Linked DNA regions of Lonchura striata. The protein of the gene in region 2 purifies or fractionates together with the protein of the main gene of each other region. This does not show direct contact. Links are inferred from orthologs where the notes say so. Each region holds a gene or a part of one and is shown on either strand. Other genes may lie near its edges.

Region 1 (7,774 bases), on a different chromosome or scaffold from region 2:
CACCTGTGCCACCCTTGAGCGGCAGGGGAGAGAGGCACGGTCACAACTGACCTTTACCCAGCTTCATCTGTGTATACTTTAGAAGTGTGCAGATGTGGCTGGATTGTTTTTTACACCTCCTTTACTAAATGAATTCAAACCTATCCTAAAACTTTAAACCCCTTATTTTATTTGTCATGTGTGTGTGTGTGTGTACATCAGAGGAGGGAATGTGTTCTTCCAACCATCCCTTCTTCCTTCCATTTTCTGTCTCCTGCCTTCTCTTCCAAGATGATGAGTTATTTATTGAGTCATTGTATCAGTCTGAATTAGAGTTTCATGGGTGTTTGGTTGGTCAGTTGTTCATCATGCCTTCTCATTAGCAAATTAGACATAACCAGCCCTGAGCCATCTGCTGCAGTCTCTTCTAAAAACCCAACTGGCTTTAGCCAAAATACTCTCGGAGCAGTGCCTTGCAAGGTGGCTGGTGTAGCATTCTGGAGAGGGATCCTCATTTCCCAAAACCAGAGGGACCCGAGCCCCTCCTCAATCCCAGCATGGCCCCCATGGCTGGGAGCTGGCCAGCTCAGCCCTGTGCTGGTAATGCCATCCTTGCTATACCAAGCAGGCTGATGAGGAACAGTGGTAGGAGAGGGGAGATCCCAAAATACAACTCTTCTCCAAGGACAAACAAATCTGCTTTAGAGCCTACTGTCACATCACTGTTGCCAAAGGCCATTGGGATTGCTGTAGCCTGACACCCCTTGGCCCTGTGCCCAGTCAGAAATTTGGTTTGTAAATTATACTGTACTAACCCCATGACTTCCATTCACCTGAACAGAAATAAAAGAAACATTGGATTTAAAAAATGATTGTGGATTAGGTTTCTCATTCTTTTGTGCACTCGTGCTGTCCCAGGGCCAGGGCATGCTGCCTGGCTTTGGAAAGTGGCTGAGTATTGCTAAGAAGCAGAGGATGAGATCTTAAGGAAATTGGAAACTGGACGTTATGCTGGGATTTCCACAGGAAAAGTGGGACATAATGCTTCAGCCTGCTGGAGGACAGAGGTGTGAGTATTTGTGGTTGAGCAAACAGCCATTTCCAGTCTCTATGGGAATAGAGTGGCTATTCTGCATACCATGCTTTCAGGAACTAAAAAATCGCAGCAAGTCCACAGCAAAGAGCAGCAGCCACTGGGGTGAAATTCCCTGTCCCTGCTTGGCACAGCTGTGTTCCTGAGTTCCTGCCCAGTGGGCTGCCACCAGAGGTTTGCTGATGCCGCAGGTCACAGTCACAGTGACCTGCAGCAATGCCAAGGGCTTGTGAGTACACAAGGCTGTACAGCTGCACTTCCTCCAGAGACATTCCTGGCATCACAGGGCCAGGAGCAAGCCAGTTACAGGTATGGTGTCAGTGTGTGTTACCATCACGCTGTCACGAGAAAACTCCACTTCTGGGGAGATGGGAAGGAATGACATTTCTATGGATGGATTGCTGAGGCACTGCAGAGGAAAAAGAAGGCTCTGCTTTGTCATGTTTTGGGAGCTGTTGCTGTGTGTTTTCATGTCTTTAATATTATGGAGCAAGAAGGGATCCAGTGTGTGGGAAGGATTTTACAACTTCTGTCACTGTGTATGTACAAATTGGTCCTGCCTTCTAGTTTCTGGCAACAGATTGTGCTGCCCCCTCTTTGGAAACAGACACAGACTAGCCTCTGATTCCCAGAGTCTGGGAAGAATAGGTGGGAACAAATTGCACCTGTGTTTTGCCCTTGGCCTAGTCTTGGAGATTGGATTTGTTCCCAACAGGGAAGGCTTTTGTCATGATATTTCTCATTTCCTCACTTCTCTTCTTGTCAATGCTCTTCATCTCATTCAATTTCTGCAAAGTAGAAAGGGGGAGAGCTGAGTAGGGAGAAAGCCAGCAGCTTTTTTTTTCTTCTCTTGCCAATCTCAAGAATAAAAACTGTTTCCCTGATTAAGTTACATGCACAGATGGAAAGAAAGCTGGAAAACCGCTATCCACCATTCCCCAGATTCATGCCCGAGCTGTGCCATGAAGGGAAGCAGCTCTTTGCCCCCTTCCCTGCTCAGATATCAGAGAAGACTCTGCTTTATGATCTCTGACACATGGGATTCCCTTCATGCACTGTTCAGCCAAGGCCCTCACATACCTGTGAGATTTCAGTGAGGATGATCCCTTGATACTTCTTGCCCTGTCCTAGAGCTTCCATCTCTTCCAGGAATTCCCTCCTCTCTTGAATTTCATTCTTCACTGGTGGATAGAGAGAAAGAACTGTGGAAACAGAATGCAGCCAAAAAGCAAGAAAACACATTTCTGTCTAGATCTGAACCCCCAATTTCCTAAAGTTCTGCTTGAACAGCAGCCCCATCAAGGCAGGGTGATATCTGCTGTAACACTCACCTTGCCCAACATGTCATCACAATACCTCAGCAGTCCCTTACATAATGGATATGTCCCCTCTGCCCAACTTCTTACCACTCCCTGACTCCCAGGAACAGCAGTTTTCTAATTTTCTTTATGTAGACAATTCTCTTTTGCTTGTGGGCAATTTAACCAGTCAGTGGATGGAGACAGAACCTGTGACAGAACTTGTGACAAGTGTTGGAGACTACCAAGCATGTGTAAAATCAGCTGCACTAGCTCCCTGCAGCAGGGAGTATCCCTTTTGTATACACTGCTCTAGCAATGCCCATCTTTGTGCTGCCCTGGCTGGCAAAGGACTGCCAGGGCTGTACACACACTTTCAAGCACAGATTCAAGCACAGAAAGGTATTAGGCAGTGTTTTGCTATCCCAGTATACACTGCAGGCCAGAGTCTTTCACTGCCTCAAATTCTGCTTGATATTCAAGCTTTGCTAGTATAACTGCTGTGATCCTGGAGTGGAATGGCCCAAACTGTGGTCAGGCTATCAAGTGACCTGGTCTATGTTGCGTCATACTTGCTGGGAAAAGGACCAACAGTACCTGAGCTTGTTTCCCATGTATCCCTACACATCCCTAGGCTATTCCCCTGCCAGCAGGGTGCATTTTGTGTGGGCAGCCCATCTGCCAGCAAACCTCATCAGTATAAGCTCTGTGGGGATGGCTGGATCAGAGTGTCACAGCAGCGAGTCCTTTCTCTTGGGAACTGGCCTTTGTGGCTCCTCCTGTAACATGCTTCAGGTTACTGGCAACACAGCCTGCCAGCCCAGCCCTAGGAGGGAGCTGGCTTCCCAGGCTTCCTGCCTCTCTCCTGGGGACATGACAACGTACATTCTTCAAACCGGTCAGCCTCAGCTATCTCCTCTTCCTTTTTCTGAATGAACACCTGCTCCACCTTCTCCTCCACGTCATCCTTCCCTGATGCTAAAATGTTCTGAAGTCTTCTCTTCTCCTTTTCCAAGTCTCCTAAGAATGCCAAAGGAAAAAAGCATTATTATCAGCACGTCTCCTCATGGAGGAGCCTGACCACACTGCTTCCCTGCTAACTGTGCCAGAGGAAGTGTTTCATTAATGTCAGTCCATCCCTGGACTGTGTGCAAGCACCACATGGGTGTACAGCGCCCACCAAACCAACATCAGAGGTGTGGTTCACCTTTATGTGCTAAAAAATCACGTAGTGCCCCATCCTTACTCAGGGACTGTGCAGGTCGCTATCGCCTGTCACCCCCCAGCTGGCAGGCAGAAGTCAGCGAGCACTTACAGGAGATGTTCCCTCAGAGATCCATTTCTGAAACATCTTTGCAGACTGAGAGCATGAGGATGTGATACAGCAATTCAGATGCACTGCCACTGCTGAGATTGAGGCAGGGGAGGGACAGAAGGAGAAGAGAGGCTCTAGGCATCACCATGTATTTATTAGCAGTGATCGCTGACTTACGTGTGGGCTGTGGCTTGAATTTCTCCCGGGTGTAGGCATCCCCTGCCTGGCAGACCCCGGCAGGTCGGAGAAGCGGTCTTGCTGGAAGCCTGTGTGGCTGACAGGCTGCTGGGGAGGAAACAGTTACTGGCTGTTTGCTGGATGGGGAGAATCTCTGAAGGGGCAGGGCATCTCCGCCTGGGGGACGAACCAAAAATAACAGCAAATCAGACAGGAGGGACTCTGAATGGATGGCTCTGGGCCATTACCAGCAGATCTACCTGTTGATCTATAGCAGCATCACAAACGAAGACCCCAGTGCCCCAGATGTCTCACCCTGGTCACTGGGCACGACAGACTGCGGTTCAAGTCACACCGTTACGCCTTGTTTCCTGGGCGACCCGTGGGGACAGCTCTCCCGCTTGTCCCCATGTGCCAGCAGCCGCTGTGCTGCTGGTTTAAAGCACTTGCCCATCCGAGCAGGCTCTGGGCGAATGCCGAGATGCAAAAGCTCCACACCACAGCACAGCAACTGGCAGGAGAGCCAGGGCGCCTCACTCACGTTTCACATAGGCCATCAGGTATCGCTTCTGGGAATGCGTCATCTGCAACTCCTCCATCATCCCTGAAAAACACAACGCGTCGATGAAGAGGCAGCAGAGCCGGGCTGGAGAACCCGCCCTAGGGTCACCTCCTCTCACAACCCCAATCCGAAAGGGAAGATGCGGGTTTAGGAGACTCCAGCCGGGGCGGCAACACCGGCGACGGGCTCCGCCGTTACCTTTCACTAACTCCCGGGTGCCTGTGCTGTAGCGGGCCGGCCTGCCCGCCGCCGAGAGCCCGCCGCGGCCCGGGCACCCTGCGGCCTCCATCGCCACGGGCGGCGCCCGCGCGGCACGGGGCAGCGGCGGCGGTCGCCAGGGCAACGGCCCGCGATGACTTCCGGCAGCGTCACGGCGGCGGCCGGAAGCTGCTCCCGGGAGCGCCGGTCCGGAGCGCCCGGCGGGAAACATGTCCGACAACGAGGACAAGTGCGAGCGGGGCGGCGGGCGCAGGGAGGGAGGGAGGGAGGGAGGGAGGGAGGGAACGGGGTGGCGGCGGCCCGGCCACAAGTGCGACGCGTGTGTCTCTCCCGCAGCTTTGACGGGGATGACTTCGACGATGTGGAGGAGGACGAGGGCCTGGAGGACCTGGAGAACGCGGAGGAGGTGGGTGCCGCTCGCAGGGCCGCGCGGCTGCTGTGGCTGGGGTGGCCTCAGCGGCTCCCCCCACACCTCAGGGCCTCGGTGGCGGGTGCGGCTGAGCAGCGGCGCGGTCTGTTTCTCCCAGGAGGGACAGGAGAACGTGGAGATTCTGCCCTCGGGAGAACGGCAGCAGGCGAACCAGAAGCGGATCACGACCCCCTACATGACCAAGTACGAGCGAGCCAGAGTCCTGGGCACTCGTGCCCTGCAGATAGCGTGAGTATTGCCTGCTGTGTCCCCAGCACTGCTGCAGCTGTGCCTCCTTTTACACTGATTAGAGCTTTCCTCTTCCCTTAAAAATTCCCAGGTCTTCTGAATCCTTTGCATGACTGCCGAGCTTGCATGTCACCCTCTGGTCAAACTGAAGCTTACTCTTTATTGCACCTGAAGTCTGTGTGTCTCTCCTTGCCTGAAACTGTACTACGCGTGCACAAAGAGGGAGCATTCAGTAGCCACAATGAGTTTTCCTAGATCACGGGCAAAATTACTAGGGAATGGGACAAGACAGTTCTGGTTTCTGTCTTTCTTCAGAGAGTCAGCATGGACTTGAGAGTTCGTGACTGGTTTGTGAAAGGTAATGTTTGAGATAGAGATGCTTCAAAATAACTTCAGTTGATACCTCAGGGCTGTAGGAATTGGGAGTGAAGAAACCAACCTGAAATTTGTTCCAAATGCAGTTGCATTGTGGGTAGCTGTAAGGTTATTGAAGTATTTGCAATAAAAAGGCCTTATTTATAATAGACAATAACATTTAAAATTTACTTTAAGTGCTGTCAAGGCTGGCTGCTCTTAATTCATTTGACTTTTTAGATTTGTTTTAATAATAAATATTTAAAATGGTGTGCTTTTTGGGAAACTACCTTCTGAGAGAGAATGTTAGACATTGGCAAGGGTTTGAGTTTCATCTTGTTTATATCCACCTTCACAATGAGGCTTCTCTTGTGCATCATTTAGAAGCTCACAGGCAGGCAAGCTGTTCTTTGCACAGCCTGTGAAGCTGTGTTATGCATGTTCTTTCAGTTGGTGAGAGGCAAGAAGAATGGGGGGAGATAAAGGCTGTGCCAGGCCTTTAATCCACTCTGGCACTTGGTTCTGCTTCACCAGCAACTTCTACTTTCAGAACCCAGACAAGCAGCAGCTCCCATGGCCTCACCCACACATAACATGAGCTTTCTCTGCCACCACTGTCCAGGTCATGGGTGTAGTCACAATCCTTTGCAAAATGCTGAGTTTTTTCTTCCAAGAGGTAAAATGCCTTGTAAATCCAGCCCTTCTCTTCTCCTGATCGAAGCCTGGGAGCTGTGAGCAGGTCAGAATGTAAACGATGTGTTGGAGCTGTAGAAGGTCTGCTCATTTTACAGCAATTGCAACCTTTTAATTGGATTAATTTTAGAACCATTCTTTTCTACATGTTTAAGTATACAGCAGAGGGCGACTAGGAGAGTGTGGATTTGACCAGTCACTGAGCTTGAGCTGGTTGGCAGACCCCTAGGGATGGGAGAAGAAGAGCACTGAAGTAAAAGTTTGGTCTGTAACCATCTGGGGGAATTTTCTCCTTCAAGGGCACAACAGAGCAAATCAGTTTTGCCAGGATAGTGTCCCACCCCCCTACTTCATTGGCTGTTGTAGAGGTGACACAGGTAAGCAGGTGTTTAACTCTTCGTTCTCTGTGTTTTTGCTCAAGTGGCTGTTGATGTTTTTCTTAGGATGTGTGCCCCTGTGATGGTGGAGCTGGAAGGAGAGACAGACCCCTTGCTCATTGCCATGAAAGAACTCAAGTAAGTCACAGATTTTGTACTGATTTCTGTAAAGCCAGCAGTCCTCTCCTCATCCCAACATGTAGCAGTTTGTTCTAAGACAGCGTTATTTTCCATCAATAACAGTGAGCAAGTACTATAGTTGCCTTTTCCTTTCTTCATCTTGTAGTTTCTCCACAGCTGCTCTCTCCCAGACTACTTGCTCCTGCAAACTGATGATTACGAGTGCTCTGGACCTCTTCTACTTCATGTTCCCAGTATTATTTATTTCTGTGATGGAATCCCAAGGTCCTCATCTTTTGGGAAGTGATTTAATTTCCCAAATGGAATTGTTTTGAAGCAGCCAGCTGAACAGAACTGTGTTCAAATGAAGTGCTAGCAAAAATTAAAATAAGAGTTAGGCTGATGAGAATGTTTATTTCCTGCACCCTTCCGTGCTTGGCTTCTTGTCCTTTCCCCCTGCTTACAGAAAGGTGAATAAATCCTTTCTGACTGCAGCAGAGGCAGCTTTTGGATGACCACTTGCAGGCCCACTTTTCCACAGCAGAACTCCCTGCTGTCCCACAGTTTTCCTGCACAGTCCAGGTCACATGCAAGCAGCTGGACACTGTTACTGATTAGGTCCCTGTCCTTAAACAAAATTATCCCCCTGCTTCCCCAGTTTCTCAGTGCACGGAAACTGCTCTTGCAGATTTTTTTATCTATGACAACTCCCTTTGGGTCATATTCCTGTCAGATCTCTGGGCTCAGACTGAGTTGCTTCTGGTCACTGCCTGTGTGCAAGTTCTGAAAAGTAAGTCAGTGTGGTGTGTCCTGTTCTGTGCCAAAATTCAGTTGTAATTCTTGGCATCGGGGAGTTACTTTACTACTGGAAAAACAACCTCCCTGAATGTAAAGAAGTTGTGTTACTTTTCAAGTCTGATACAGTTAAA
Region 2 (7,389 bases):
GGATATTTCTATGGATATTCAGGATATTTATATGAAATTCTGATATATTTATACGAACTTTTGGGATATCTCAGCCATTTCCATGGATATTTGGGATATTTCCATGGATCCCCTTCCACTCCTCCCTTCTCCAACCCAACCAGTTCCACTCCCCACAACCTCCCCCCCACCAAAAACGCTCCAGCCCCCCAAAACCATCCCCATCCCCCCTTTTTTAACCCCCCTGATGTCCACTCACTCCTCCTTGATCTTCCTGCTGATGATGTTGGGGGCAAAGGTTTTCTGTGGGCAGAGAGGAAAAAAAAATCACCCCAAAATCCACCCTGGGCTTTGTCACCACCCCAAACCCTGGCTGGGGATGGGGAGTGACCCCAATTTTGGGGGGAAAAGGGGGGTCTCACCTTTTTGACGCCGCCCAGGGTGAGGTCGCGGGAGCGGATGGAGGGCAGGCGGCCGGGGCCGAGTTGGGGGGCGGCGCTGGGGCGCCGGCCCAGCACCCCCCGGAGCCCCGGGCGGGCGCTGCCCGGCGAGCCCGAGCTGCCAGAGCCACCCTCGGCCATCCTGCGGGCAGGGCGAGGGTTCAGGGCTGGGGGCTGCACCCCGAAATGGGCTCGGTTCTGCTCAAATCCCAGGAATGAACCCCGAAATGGGCTCGGTTTGTGACAGACCCCGAAATGGGCTCGGTTTGTGACAGACCCCAAACTGGGCTTGGTTTGTGACAGACCCCAAAGTGGGCTCGGTTTGTGACAGACCCCGAAATGGGCTCGGTTTGTGACAGACCCCAAAATGGGCTTGGTTTGTGACAGACCCCAAAGTGGGCTCGGTTTTTAACAGACCCCGAAATGGGCTCGGTTTGTGACAGACCCCAAACAGGGCTCAGTTCTACACAAATCCCAATAACCAACCCCAAAATGGGCTCGGTTTGGCTCAAATCCCAGTAACAGACCCCAAACTGGGCTCAGTTCTACCCAAATGCCAATAATGGATCCTAAATTGGGCTCAGTCCTACATAAACCCCAGTAACAGACCCCAAACAGGGCTCAGTTCTACACAAATCCCAATAACCAACCCCAAAGTGGGCTCAGTTCTGCTCAAATCCCAGTAATGAACCCCAAAATGGGCTCGGTTTGTAACAGACCCCAAACTGGGCTCGGTTTGTGACAGACCCCAAACTGGGCTCGGTTCTGCTCAAATCCCAGGAACGGAACCCAAACTGGGCTCAGTCCCACATAAACCCCAATAATGGACCTCAAACTGGGCTCAGTTCTACACAAATCTCAATAATGAACCCCAAACTGGGCTTGGTTCTGCTCAGATTCCAGGAACGGAACCCAAACTGGGCTCAGCCCTACATAAAACCCAATAATGAACCCCAAATATGGCTCAGTTCTGCTCAAATCCCAATAATGAACCCCAAACTGGGCTCCGTTCTGCACAAACCCCAATAATGGATCCTAAATTGGGCTCAGTTCTGCTCAAACCCCAATAACCAACCCCAAACTGGGCTCAGTTCTATACAAACCTCAATAATGAACCCCAAACTGGGCTCAATTCTACATAAACCCCAGTAACAGACCCCAAACAGGGCTCAGTTCTACACAAATCCCAATAACCAACCCCAAAGTGGGCTCAGTTCTACATAAACCCCAGTAACAGACCCCAAACAGGGCTCAGTTCTACACAAATCCCAATAACCAACCCCAAAGTGGGCTCAGTTCTGCTCAAATCCCAATAATGAACCCCGAAATGGGCTCAGTCCTATGCAAACCCCACAAATGACCCCCCTGCACCCCCAAATAGGGTCCACGTGTAGCCCCCTCCCCAGGGGTCTCAGCACCCCACACACCACACACACACCCCTTATCCCCCATACACCCCAAACAGGACCCAAACAGGACCCCTTATCCCCCCCCACACCCCAAACAGGACCCCTTGCACCTCTTACACCCCAAACAGGACCCCTTGTCCCCTCCCCAGGGGTCTCAGCCGCCCATATACCCCAAAAAGGACCTCTTGTCCCCCACACACCCCAAACAGGACCCCTTGCACCCCATACACCACAAACAGGACCCCTTGTCCCCCTCCCTGGGGGTCTCAGCCCCCCATAAACCCCAAACAGGACCCCTTGTCCCCCACACACCCCAAACAGGACCCAAACAGGACCCCCTTGCACCCCACACACCCCAAACAGGACCCAAACAGGACCCCTTGTCCCCCATACACCCCAAAAAGGACCCAAACAGGACCCCTTGTCCCCCTCACACCCCAAACAGGACCCAAACAGGAGCCCCTGTCCCCTATAGACCCCAAACAGGACCCCTTGTCCCCATCACACCCCAAACAGGACCCAAACAGGAGCCCCTGTCCCCTATAGACCCCAAACAGGACCCCTTGCACCCCTTACACACCGAACAGGACCCCTTATCCCCCACACACCCCAAACAGGACCCCTTGTCCCCATCACACCCCAAACAGGACCCAAACAGGACCCCCTGTCCCCTATAGACCCCAAACAGGACCCCTTGCACCCCTTACACCCCGAACAGAACCCCTTATCCCCCACACACCCCAAACAGGACCCAAACAGGACCCTTTGCACCCCTTACACCCCAAACAGGACCCCTTGTCCCCTATACACCCCAAACAGGACCCCTGTTCCCCCCTCCCCGGGGCTCCCAGCCCCCCCGTTCCCCCCAGCACCCCCTCACGCCCCTCCCCGGGGGTTCGGACCCCCATGAGCCACCCCCGGCCCCCCAAAACCCCAAAACCCCCTGGCAGCGCCCCCCGCCCCTCACGGGCCTCACCCCCCTGCGCCCCCTGCCCCCTCCGCGTCCCCCTCTCCCCGCCATTCCCACCCCCTCGCGCACCCCCAAAGCGGACCCACCCTCCCCCCGCCCCCCAGGGGGACCCCTCCGTGCTCGCTGCCCCTCCTCGCACCCCTCAGGACCCCCGGGACCCCCCAAAATCCTCCCCCGGCCCCGCCACGCCGCCCCTCACCCTGCCCGGGCAGCCACGGGCTCGCCGCCCCCACTGCGCATGCGTCACTCACGCCGCGCTCTTCCTGAGGCGACGCTGCCGCCGCCATCTTTGCTGAGGGCACGGCGGGTTTGGCAACGAGCTGCCATCTTTGTGGTTGGCAATGCCCGAGCCGGTGTGAAGGCGGCGGCGCCATCTTTGTGACGGGCAGCGCCCTGCTCTCCAAATGGGCAGCGGGGGCAGCGCTGTGGGGGGACATTTTTGGGGGGTCACTCAGCCTTTCATTTAACACCCTCACGGGATTCCTGCAGTGCGACCACCCCCTCAGGGTCCTCTGCAGCCCCACAGCCGGCACCCCCACAGAGGGGGTTCATGCGTGAGCACCCCCTCGCAGAAATTTGGGGGGCAATGAGGATTTTGGGGTGTTCTCCCACCCTCCCACCCGAAAAAAAGCTTTTCCCCTGCAAGAAGGGTGTTTACTACGTGCAAAACAAAAAGTCTGTCCGTCCGTCCGCCCCCCGTGGGCTCTGCACCCCATTCTCGCGGGGGTCCTGTGTGGGTACCAGCATTCCCACGCTCCTCATCCATCCCATTTTTGGGGCCGGGAGGGGGTGTCCCCATTGTCCCGCAAGCGGCACAACCGGGACAACCCCTCCCCCCCCGACCCCAAAAATGGGGGGGGGGAACAGGCAGAACCTGCCCACCACCCACCCCCAATCTGCACCCACATCCCACTCTGCCTCCATCACCTGACGCCGCACGCATCCCTCCATGCCATTGGCAGAACCGGGAGGTTTTTCCTTCCTCCCCCTTCTCTCCCAGCTCCTTGGATATCTATTTTTCCCCCATTTTTTTATTTAATTTTTTTTTTTCCCTCTCCTCTCCCTCCTCTGGAGGGTGTTTGCTATTTCCGAGCTGGCTGGGAGGATCCCAGTCGCATCAGCCGCAGGCAGCGACGCGGCACCGCCGGGTACCACCTCGATCCCTCCGGCATCCTCCGTCCTTCCCGCTTGGATCAGCCCCGCCGGGGCTCTCTGTCCTGCCCTGCCGCTCCACCGGCACCCCCGCTCCTCCCGGCAGCCCCCCGCCACGGCCAGGTAAGGCCCTCACCGGCACCGCTGCCACCGGAGCGGCCGCCGAACCCCGCTGGCAGCGGGGCGACATCCCGCTGGCACCGCCGAGGGATGCTCGGAGGGCAGGGGGGGACACGGGGGGCGCTGAGGGCTGGCAGGGGACACGAGGCACCGGGGACACGGTGACACGGTCCAGCTGGCACGATCCCGGTGCAGAATTCCTGCGCCACCGCCGGCCACGGGAGCGGGGCAGCGAGGTGGCACCGTGTCCCCAGAGCGGTGACCTTCTGCCGTGCCCAAGGGCTTTGGCGTGGGGGGGTGACAGCGGTTTTGGGGTGCAGGGGGCTGCGCAGATGGGGGGGACACGTGGCCGTGGGTGGCCGTGGGTGCCGAGTGACGGGGACACGCACGGCTGAGCCCGGCGTGGGTGGCCGTGGGCACACGGAGGGGGTGGGTGGGGGGGTGGTGGCACCTTGGCAGCCCCGCGGTGCCACCGCTGCCCCCGCACAAACCCGGGCTGAAGATTTGGGGGGGTCGGGTCACGCTTCGCTTCCAGCCTCCCGTCCCCGTGCCGCGAATGTGACTCCGTGTCCCCCCTCCACGAGCATCGCCCACCCCCCCCACCTCCCCCGCCCCCAAAAAGCGCCTTCCTGGTGGGTGCAGGGAAACTGAGGCACGGGCCGGGGCAAAGGCGGATCCAGCTTTTCCAGTGCCTGCGTCCAACCCTCCCCTCTCGCAGCAACTCCCTCGGCTCTCCCCTTGTTTTTCTTTCCCCACCCGGTGTTGAGCAAACCCCGAAACGCCCGCTGGCGTCGCGCCGGGGCCCCGCGGCACCCGGGGGAGCGGCCGGGGCCCCCGCACCCGACCGGGCTTGTTGCCGGCGTCCCGCCGCCTGCTCCTGCCTGCGCTGCCTATTCCTGGCTCCCGGCCGCTTTTCCAGCCCGCTGCCATCTGCTCCGCCGCGGGCGGCCTTGGCAGAGGCGGCGTGGGCAGCGAGAGGGGGCTCGGCACCCGCCAGACCCCCGCGCTGTGCCCGCAGGAGCTCAGCCCCTCCGGCCATGGAGCTGCTGTCCACCCCCAAAAACATCGAGATCAACAACATCACCTGCGATTCCTTCCGCATCTCCTGGGCTATGGAGAAGGGGGACCTGGAGAGGGTCACCCACTACTTCATCGACCTCAACAAGAAGGAGAACAAGAATTCCAACAAGTTCAAGCACCGGGTGAGCCGGGCGAGGACGCGGGACCCCCTGCCCGGGGAGAGGAGACGCGGTTGGGAGGGAGGAACTGGCTCTCAGCCCTCTCTAGTGCCGAATTTGGGTCATTCCCCTCACGGGACACGCCGGCGGAGGAGGCTGGGATGGGGATCGGGGGGTGACGGACCGCGCGGAGCCCCCGCGGAGGAGCGGAGCCGCTCCTGCTCCCCCTCCCCGTGCTGCGAGTCACTAATTCGGGCCGTTTTTAGCAGCGCCGTTGCCACGGTGATGCTATTTAATGTTTAACATTGTTTTTTTTTTTTTTCCTCTCCTCCCCAATAATAAGGGGTGGGGGGGTGGGGGGGTGGGATATTTTTTTCCCCTCTATCTCCCGACTTCAGCATCCGCCGTTGCCACAGAAACGGCTCTGCACTGCGGAGCTGCTCCGTGGCCTATTGACACCGCGAGATGCCACCGGGAGCGGGGGCACCCCGAGACCACCCCCACCCGCTCCCCGAGACCACCCCCACCTCGGGGACCCCCTGTCCCCATCACGGCAGGGAGCGGGGGCACCCCGAGACCACCCCCACCCCCTCCCCGAGACCACCCCCACCTCGGGGACCCCGTGTCCCCATCGCCACCGGGAGCGGGGGCACCCCAAGACCACCCCCACCCCCTCCCCGAGACCACCCCCACCTCGGGGACCCCCTGTCCCCATCACGGCAGGGAGCGGGGGCACCCCGAGACCACCCCCACCCGCTCCCCGAGACCACCCCCACCTCGGGGACCCCCTGTCCCCATCGCCACCGGGATCAGGGGCACCCCGAGACCACCCCCACCTCGGGGACCCCCTGTCCCCATCACGGCAGGGAGCGGGGGCACCCCAAGACCACCCCCACCCCCTCCCCGAGACCACCCCCACCTCGGGGACCCCGTGTCCCCATCGCCACCGGGATCAGGGGCACCCCAAGACCACCCCCACCCCCTCCCCGAGACCACCCCCACCCCCTCCCCGAGACCACCCCCACCTCGGGGACCCTGTGTCCCCATTGCAGCAGGGAGTGGGGACACCCCGAGACCACCCCCACCCGCACCCCGAGACCACCCCCACCTGCACCCCGAGACCACCCCCACCCGCACCCCGAGACCACCCCCACCCGCACCCCGAGACCACCCCCACCTGCACCCCGAGACCACCCCCACCTGCACCCCGAGACCACCCCCAGCTCGGGGACCCCGTGTCCCCATCGCAGAAGGGAGCTCACCACGGTGTTTTTGGGGGGTCTCCGTGGATATTTTGGAGTGACTCCGTGGATATTTTGGGAGGGTCTCCGTGGATATTTTGGGGGGATATCCATGGATATTTTGAGGGGGTCTCCGTGGATATTTTGGGGCGGTCTCCGTGGATATCTGGGGGGGAATCCGTCGATATTTTGGGGGGGGTATCCATGGATTTTTTGGGGAGATATCCGTGGATATTTGGGGGGACTCCGTGGATATTTTGGGAGGGACTCCGTGGATATTTAGGGGGATATCCGTGGATATTTTGGGGGGTCTCCGTAGATATTTTTGGGGGGTCTCTGTGGATGTTTTGGGGGTGCGGTACCCGGCAGCGTCCCCGCGGAGCGGGGTGGCGGTGCGGGCGGTGGGCTGCTGTCCCGCCTGACCGTCGCCGCTCGGAACAGGATGTCCCCACCAAGCTGGTGGCCAAGGCGGTGCCGCTGCCCATGACGGTGCGGGGCCACTGGTTCCTGAGCCCCCGCACCGAGTACAGCGTGGCCGTGCAGACGGCGGTCAAGCAGAGCGACGGCGAGTACCTGGTGTCCGGCTGGAGCGAGACCGTGGAGTTCTGCACCGGGGGTGAGCGGGACCGAGCCGGGAGCGACTCTGGGGGCGTCCCCGGGAGCCCGGAGGGAGGATGGGGGCGATCCCAGGAGGAGGATGGGGGCGATCCCAGGAGGAGAATGGGGGCGATCCCAGGAGGAGGATGGGGGCGATGCTGGAAGCCGGGAGGGAGGACGGGATTGATGCTCCTGGAGTCGGGAACTGGGCCGGGGGATGGGGACGGTCCCGGGAGCTGGGAGGAGGATGGAGGTGATGCTGGGAGCCGGGAGGATGAGGAGGACAGGGGAAAAGCCCAGAGC
Region 3 (7,488 bases), on a different chromosome or scaffold from region 2:
ATTATGGCATGAGGACTTCAGCTCTGTCATGAGGAGAGCCACAAGATGAAGCAAGAGAAGTATACTTTTCACTACTTTCATAGAAACCCACTCAAATTCACCTAACACAAAATACTGAATACAGGAAAAAAAAACCCTCAACAATTTAGAATAAAATTAAAAATATTTATGTAATGATGTTTCAGTCTCTGAAGCTTGCTTTTACAGTGATGGTGGAATGCAATGCACTACCAAATGTAACACACATGTACTCAAAATTACATGCAGCTATTTTCCAAGACAAAAAAACTCAACAAGACAGATGCAAATATTAATACCTCATGAGGTGATACAGGTCGTGTCACATTGAAGCTTTCTTCCACATCTGGAGTACCCACATAGATATTGAGGTACCTGTAATACAGTTTCAAAATGAGCAATGAGGCAAATATTTTTCAAAGAATCTGAAGGAAGCAAAATTTTACATATACTGAAAAATTAAATTATTTTGATGAACACAGTTTGACAATTTGACAATAATGACCAATGATTCTTCCTAAAGTAACTCACTGTATTTGAGTTGTGGTCAAATTAGTTCAAATTTAGCCTGCATGTGCAGTAAACCTTTAAATCTTCCCATATTTCATTGCATAAAGTAGGAGATAAGTCATGAAAAACACCTTCTTGATTTATACCTACAGAAGTGCTTATAAACAAACCCCTGAGACAGTACTCATGCTGCTACTGATATGGAAATCATCTCATGCTTACTTCAGATACCACATTGGGTCGGCATCACTTGTCACTTTTTCATTTGCCTTCATGATTTTCTTTATCTGGAGGAGAAAAAGAACAAAATGGAACCATGGCCTTTTCTGAGTACTAAGAGCCACTCTCCCCCACCCAGGAAAGCCTACCTCAACATTGATGAAATAGTTGAATGAGTCTATGTGCTGCTTCACCAGTCCTTTCACCTGAAAAATAATGCACGCAGCAAATAAAATCAGCTTCAGTAACATTAATCACATAAGGCAGAAATTAAGATATAAGCCTTTATAACTGGGTTTGGATAACTGTGCTAAATTCTTTCAGCTGACAAACTTCTGGGAAGTGGCTGGATGCTCACTCTGGTTCTCCACTACATTTTCAGGTTTACACTGGAACTGTCATATAAAGAGCATGGATAGCATCTCTGAGAGCCAGTAAAACAGGAAAAATAATCTGGAAACATTACATATATACACTATGGACTGAGAATAACCACACCAAAATGCAAACCTCTAGGAGGATATCTCCACAAAATAATCTTTAAATTAATCAAGAAAACAATCTATGGAAGAAGTCTACTGATAACTGCAAGGAACTAAAACAAAAGGCAAAATCCACAGAAAAGTGAGGACAGGTATTCTGGGAAATAGTAAGAGCCAGAAGAAAGGAATGTGAAGTTAGAAAGGAGATGAAATAGTCACACCATGAAATGAGTGTGTAGCACTAACCTTCAGAAATGCTGGAAGAAGTCTCCATTTTTCCTGAAAACAAAAACAGTTTGAGACATCTTTCCAAGGACTAGCCAAATATCTAACATGCCTGAGCCTCTGTCTACATGTTTTATTCCTATTGTTGTTTTTTGAACGGTAACATTGTTTAAAATCAGATCCATTTAGGAAAAAACCAAGAAACAACTGTCTAAAGCCAACAGAGGTGGATAAAAATTACCTGGATCATCTCAGTAAACCATACAAGCAGTATTTGGGATGCAATTGCACACGGCCTTTCCTGAGAGTAACTTCTGTGAAAATATAGTTTTCTGAGAAAACTCCTTAACACCATGTCCTCATTTAAGACCAACTAATGTTTTTCTGGTTTTGTTCTGTTAACACTGTAAATTATATTTGTAAAAAGGGAAGATTTCCTACAACATTTGCTTTACAAAATACATGCAAGAACCTCAGTCCTGGGAGCAGCTGTAACACTTACCAGGACCCTAAATCCTACAGAGATTTAGCAAAAGTACTGACAAGTGCTAAGTGTATCGAAGTTCCTACAAACTTTCTCCCATCTCTAATCATTAATGAGCATAGGGAACATCTCTATGTCAGCCCCATGTTTTCCCCACCACGGCAGTGCAAAAACTTGCATATATCTTTGGCTAGAGACAAAATCATTTATTTAGGAGGAGTGTTCCCAGTCCTCATATGCTTCTCCATATACTACCATTTTAAAATACTACAAAATTAATTAAACCAAAAACACCTGTAGAAAGTTGTTAGCTTTCTTCTACCCACAGAAATGTTGATGGTGCTCTTGGCTTTCAGCCTTCACTGCTACTGTTTGTTAATCTACTAATCTTGCTTGTGATCCCAATTTAACATCTAATAGTGGCAAAGCTAATGCAGTAAAAAGAGACGTACAGAATGGTGTGGCTTATACCACTGGTCCCTTGTGGCTGATATGCAGTAGCGTTTACAGTCTGGAAAGATGAAGAGTGCTTGATTTTTTATAATTTAAATGCTATGTCTAAAAAAAAGGGGTTGAATCTGTTAAACAGTAATGCAATTAAACTGATGACCTAAGGATGAGACTAATGGTTTTAATTTTAAGTAAATATTTCAAGGCCAGGCTGGAAGGAGAAGGGTGCAGCGGAAGGTGTCCGTGCCATGGCAGGGGGATGGAAGGACACGAGCTGTGAGGTCCCTGCCACCCCGCGGGACACAGCCCGGGCAGACGGGGCCCGGCTTCACGAGGGGCTGCCCAGGGACAGCTCGGACCAAGCAAACCCCCACCAAACACCCACACACACCCAGCGGCGCAGCACGGGCAGCGGCCGCTCCACGTGTGCGCCGCCACAAGACTCCTTCCCCCCCAGCCCGGCTCGGCTCAGCCCGGCCACGCTCCGGGAGAGCCCGAGGCGAGCCCGGCCGCTTGCCCCGCTGACCTCCACTGTGTTGACCGGGGCCGCCGCCTGCTCCGGGGTGAGCGCACCGAGCCCCAGCGCCTCCATGGCCACCCGCGCGCCGCGGCGCTGCGGCGCAGCGCGTCCCCCGCGCGCCGGCGCCGCCCCGAAGGTTCCGGCCCCGCGCTGCCCGGGCACCTCCGAGCGCTGAGCGCGCCCAGCCCCCGGCAGCCGCTGCTCCCTCTGCCCGCGGCCCGCCCCTCACAGTGCCCGGCAGCCGCTCCTCCCTCTGCCCGCGGCCCGCCCCTCAGCCCCCGGCAGCCGCTCCTCCCTCTGCCCGCGGCCCGCCCCTCACAGTGCCCGGCAGCCGCTGCTCCCTCTGCCCGCGGCCCGCCCCTCACAGCCCCCGGCAGCCGCTCCTCCCTCTGCCCGCGGCCCGCCCCTCACGGTGCCCGGCAGCCGCTGCTCCCTCTGCCCGCGGCCCGCCCCTCACGGTGCCCGGCAGCCGCTCCTCCCTCTGCCCGCGGCCCGCCCCTCACGGTGCCCGGCAGCCGCTGCTCCCTCTGCCCGCGGCCCGCCCCTCACGGTGCCCGGCAGCCGCTCCTCCCTCTGCCCGCGGCCCGCCCCTCACGGTGCCCCGCGGCCCGCCCCGCTGGGCCACTGCAGAGCTGGCAGCGCCCCGAGGTCTGCCCTGAATCCCCGCCGGAAGGCGGCGGGGACATGGAGCAGTCGGGCTTTAAATGGCTTTCCTGTATTTTTTCGCATGTAAAGCAACGCGGGGAAACAGCTTTTAGCGTTGTTGTTATTATTGACTGCTGTAGCTGAATCACCTACAAACCTGCTCGTTCTCTTGTACAAGGCTCGGTGCTTAGAGACACCAAAATCGCAGTCAAATGGGGGGCTACTCATCTGCCCCAGTTCAAGATGAAACAAGAAGCACTAGTGATCTCTGCACATTCCTGTGGCAGTAAGGTTTTGAGCTACATATATATATATAAATATAATAATTGGCAAGATCTAAAAGCAGAGTGTGAAATCAGTGCATACAGACATCTATCTGCTGTGGCTCGGGTTCCTCATGAGTAACACTGACAGGGTTGGGTCTGAGCTCCACCCATCCTGGACACTAAGGCCCCTACCCTGAAGAGGAGTAACATTTCAGACTCCTTCCATTTGGTCTCCTGCCTAAAGGAACAGTCAGTGGAGAATTTGTTTCATACGTGGCAATCCATGGTTAATCCATGGAAAGCCTCTGTCGGGCACAGGGAGAAGCTTGGAGAAGTTCTCAGAGAAGCCAGCCCTGCAGTCCACTGCTCCTCCAACTCTGCCATGCAAACCCAATACTTCCTTCATCCAAGTTGTCAGATTTAAGCAGACAACTGTCTTCAATATTATTTGTACAGCTGGGTTAAACTCAGTGCTCTGCCAAAGGAGCTGCTTCTGAGAAGTAACAGAAAAACAGTCACAACAGAATAGTGAAGTCATTTATCTTTGGCATTCAACAATTTGTTGCATTTAATAATGTTCGTATAAATGACTTTTCACCACTGCTAGTATCACAAACAAAATTTAATGCATACAAATCCTCAAAACTTATTTTTTAATAAAGCTGCTACAGAATGGCATCTTGTTTCACAAGGACAACTTCTGAGTAGAGGCAAGTGCATTTCAGCCACAGTAGCATAAACAGCATGCAACACGTGACATTAAACAGATGCAATGTCCCTGTTGGAAACATTAAATTAAAACACATTAAACAATCACTTGAAACACAGGCCATGCTATAAAATGCCCTTTGCAAGTCACTTTAATCACCAAACCCCTCCAAAAAATGCTATGTTTTGAGTATTTACTGGTAAAAACTATTATGACAGTTTTCCCAGCTCATTAAAGAGCTAAACTTTGTGTTTATTTGTACAATAGAATGGATATAAAACACTATAATTAAAAGTTCATAATCATATTAACACCTTCAAATGTTCATAAAATCCTCCTTTGGCTGAAGTTCAAAATCATGTAGGTAACTTCTAATATTGTAGCAAATCACTAAGATTCATTCCCTCTTCCTGCTTTTGAAATGCATTCTTCTCTTAATTATTTTGAATTGCCTACCAAAATTTCATATTTATCTGAGCAAGCCTGGCTTACCTAGTGGCACAGTTATGATAGTCTAAGAGTTCCTTTTTTCTAGGTTTTCCAGGAAACAGTTCCCTTTAAAATATGTATTCATGTTTATTTTGTGCAATATTTTCACAAGGGGTAGAACAGAAGTGCACTAGAGAACTTTCTCTAAAAAGGCATTTTGAAGAAAGTTTTCCTTAACATTTACTTGTGACCAAAGTCCTTGGACACTGAAGAACTGAATAGAAGTAATTTCCTTTGCTAGAAATGGACTACAAAACCACAGTGCTAATAATGCCCAGGATTTTTTAGACCTTTATAATAGACACTGTAATGTACATAAACAATTTGTGTGACACATTACACTTTTACAGGTTATTTTTGTCTCTTCATAAAAATAGATTGTAATATAAAACATTAAAAACAAGCTCTAACTTGTACCACACTGAGGTTTTCTATATATGACATCTTAAAATGAGTATTATATGGTAATATAGTAAAATATCATTTTCAAGTAAATTATTCAATTTCATAGACAAGAACATGTCTATAATATGAATTCCAGCACTATCTGATAATCCCAGTAATCTGAAAGATGCAAGATAAAGTCTGTGTAAACTTAAAGAAGTTCCCTTCCACCTTTCTCCATTTCAATTCTATTCGTTTTCTGTATGCAAGATTCCCAATGCCTTAAGTGGGCACTAAGTATTGGGGCCCAGTCCAAAGGAATTGGAGGGAAACAGGAGCATTTCTCACACACTCCATAAAAAAGTGAATCTAATAATATTTTCAAAAATGACTCATTACTCAACTTCTTGCTTTCAGGCCTAAGAGTATCTTGTGAAAAATTTACATTCTATTGGATAAGGGCATGAAAGGGGCAGCTCTTCTGTGGTACACTGTAAGGTCAGGGTTAAGTGCTTTTGGGGATAAAGGTTAGGAAGACCTAACTTAAAAATACTGAACACCCATCTATTAAGATCAATGATCAATACATACACATATTAAAGATCTGTATGACCTCCACTGAATAAACAAGATGCTTATAAACACTTTATATACAGAAATTTACTCCACCCCCCCACCATCATGTTTCTCAGGTGTTTATCATTAATACCAATTAGAGTTGAGAAGTTCTGAATTATTCCTACTTGAAGTGGTGAATGCTGCTTCTGTAACTGCAATCCTGCAAACAGCTTGTAACACTGGCTTTCCTTAATGTAACAGAGGCAAAATTCTGGGTCCAGTAATTGCAGGAGGACCTCAACTTTGCCTAGTATGAACCTAGGATTGGTTACTAAAGCAGTTATGCTATACTGTCTTCTTCAAAGTATTCTCAGAAACATAATTGATGTCCGAGATGTTACTCTACAAAAATACAATGTAAGCATAGTACATTTTATCTACAGTTGTTTTGTAATTTCCTAATATGCATTGCTATATGTAAATATATTTGAGTTGAAAAATAACATTGTTTTGATGGTGGCAAAAAATCAAGTACATTGCCAGATCTTTCCTACTGCAAGTCATAATAAATGCTTGCTATGGAAATTAATAATTCACTGGCTATTACAAGTGACAATCCATTAAACAAACAATTTTCTATTAAAATATATATATGACCTTGACATTAATTTCTTTACAGTGAATTTCAGAAACTATCTGTATACATTTTACAAGACCTTTCCCCATCAACAGTCACTGGAGTAGGCTGTTCTTAGAGATCTGTGACCTCCCCACTGTCTTGGAAGATTAAAAAAAGGGTACATTTTTTAATTGCTAGATGTTTTGGCTTCTGTCTTCTCCATTGCTGCCTCAGGAAAAAGCAGTTTTCTAAGTATGTTTGCATAGAATGGTCCATACACTTTTTTATTGAAGTTTACAATGCTTGCATACTGAGATCCCAGAAACTCTATCTCTGTCTGAATCACAGAAAGGCCTCCTGGCATAGTAGGCATACACTTCTGAAAACTTGGAAGAGCAAGCAAGCTTCTCATGAAGAGCTGGATTCGTTTGTCTGAAATGGAATATAAAGTATGCTCAGAACAAATGTCACTTTGTAAGTACCCTGCACATCAGCACAGCAAAAAATCCAACAATGTAATGAACAACTCTTTCCCAAGATTGTTTTGGGGTGGGAAACAATACTGTAAGCTTAAGTTTAGCTACTGCAAGGTGGACACAGCATAAACCTACTGCAACAAGTTACATTAATTAATATGAAGTAGACTCAAAGGAAGGAAAAAAACTCAGAAGGTTTAAACCCAGAATGGATAGAAAGAAGACTAAACAATACTCATTTTATCTAAATTCTTCTCCAAAATACTAGGCTGCCAAGGCGTGTCTCTACATGCACTTATACAATTATTTCTTGATGTGACTAACCACACTCTGCAGCATACCAAGAACACCATCTCTAAGTAAACACCACAACCTTACTCTTAGTTGAGCCAGTGTTCTACTGCAGTAGGAAAATAGTTTTAGAAAATAATTAG

Evidence for each region. The genes of interacting proteins can lie anywhere in the genome.
Region 1: the proteins of POLR3D (region 2) and POLR2F purify together in Homo sapiens (affinity purification with mass spectrometry; 5 studies listed by BioGRID and IntAct, with this or other methods). This does not show direct contact. The link is inferred for Lonchura striata from reciprocal best matches to the Homo sapiens genes POLR3D and POLR2F.
Region 3: the proteins of POLR3D (region 2) and POLR3B purify together in Homo sapiens (affinity purification with mass spectrometry; 8 studies listed by BioGRID and IntAct, counting the BioPlex papers as one, with this or other methods). This does not show direct contact. The link is inferred for Lonchura striata from reciprocal best matches to the Homo sapiens genes POLR3D and POLR3B.

The regions. Positions count from the first base shown.
Region 1 is NC_134607.1:23,577,847-23,585,620, forward strand, and holds the start of POLR2F (DNA-directed RNA polymerases I, II, and III subunit RPABC2), read left to right. Parts: upstream 1-4,757; 5' UTR 4,758-4,852; coding exon 4,853-4,872; intron 4,873-4,979; coding exon 4,980-5,049; intron 5,050-5,170; coding exon 5,171-5,301; intron 5,302-6,791; coding exon 6,792-6,863; intron 6,864-7,774. Other genes in the region: C5H22orf23 (UPF0193 protein EVG1), read right to left, coding at 1,756-1,860, 2,153-2,253, 3,256-3,390, 3,863-4,039, 4,404-4,466, 4,623-4,713. UniProt on the Homo sapiens protein: DNA-dependent RNA polymerase catalyzes the transcription of DNA into RNA using the four ribonucleoside triphosphates as substrates.
Region 2 is NC_134634.1:3,550,326-3,557,714, forward strand, and holds the start of POLR3D (DNA-directed RNA polymerase III subunit RPC4), read right to left. Parts: upstream 3,008-7,389; 5' UTR 2,998-3,007; intron 562-2,997; 5' UTR 561-561; coding exon 402-560; intron 283-401; coding exon 239-282; intron 1-238. Other genes in the region: PHYHIP (phytanoyl-CoA hydroxylase-interacting protein), read left to right, coding at 5,108-5,272, 6,931-7,105. UniProt on the Homo sapiens protein: DNA-dependent RNA polymerase catalyzes the transcription of DNA into RNA using the four ribonucleoside triphosphates as substrates.
Region 3 is NC_134607.1:20,708,855-20,716,342, reverse strand, and holds the start of POLR3B (DNA-directed RNA polymerase III subunit RPC2), read right to left. Parts: upstream 3,018-7,488; 5' UTR 2,981-3,017; coding exon 2,915-2,980; intron 2,418-2,914; exon of another isoform or gene 2,391-2,417; intron 1,509-2,390; coding exon 1,476-1,508; intron 954-1,475; coding exon 897-953; intron 816-896; coding exon 751-815; intron 394-750; coding exon 318-393; intron 1-317. Other genes in the region: TCP11L2 (T-complex protein 11-like protein 2), read right to left, coding at 6,766-7,010. UniProt on the Homo sapiens protein: Catalytic core component of RNA polymerase III (Pol III), a DNA-dependent RNA polymerase which synthesizes small non-coding RNAs using the four ribonucleoside triphosphates as substrates.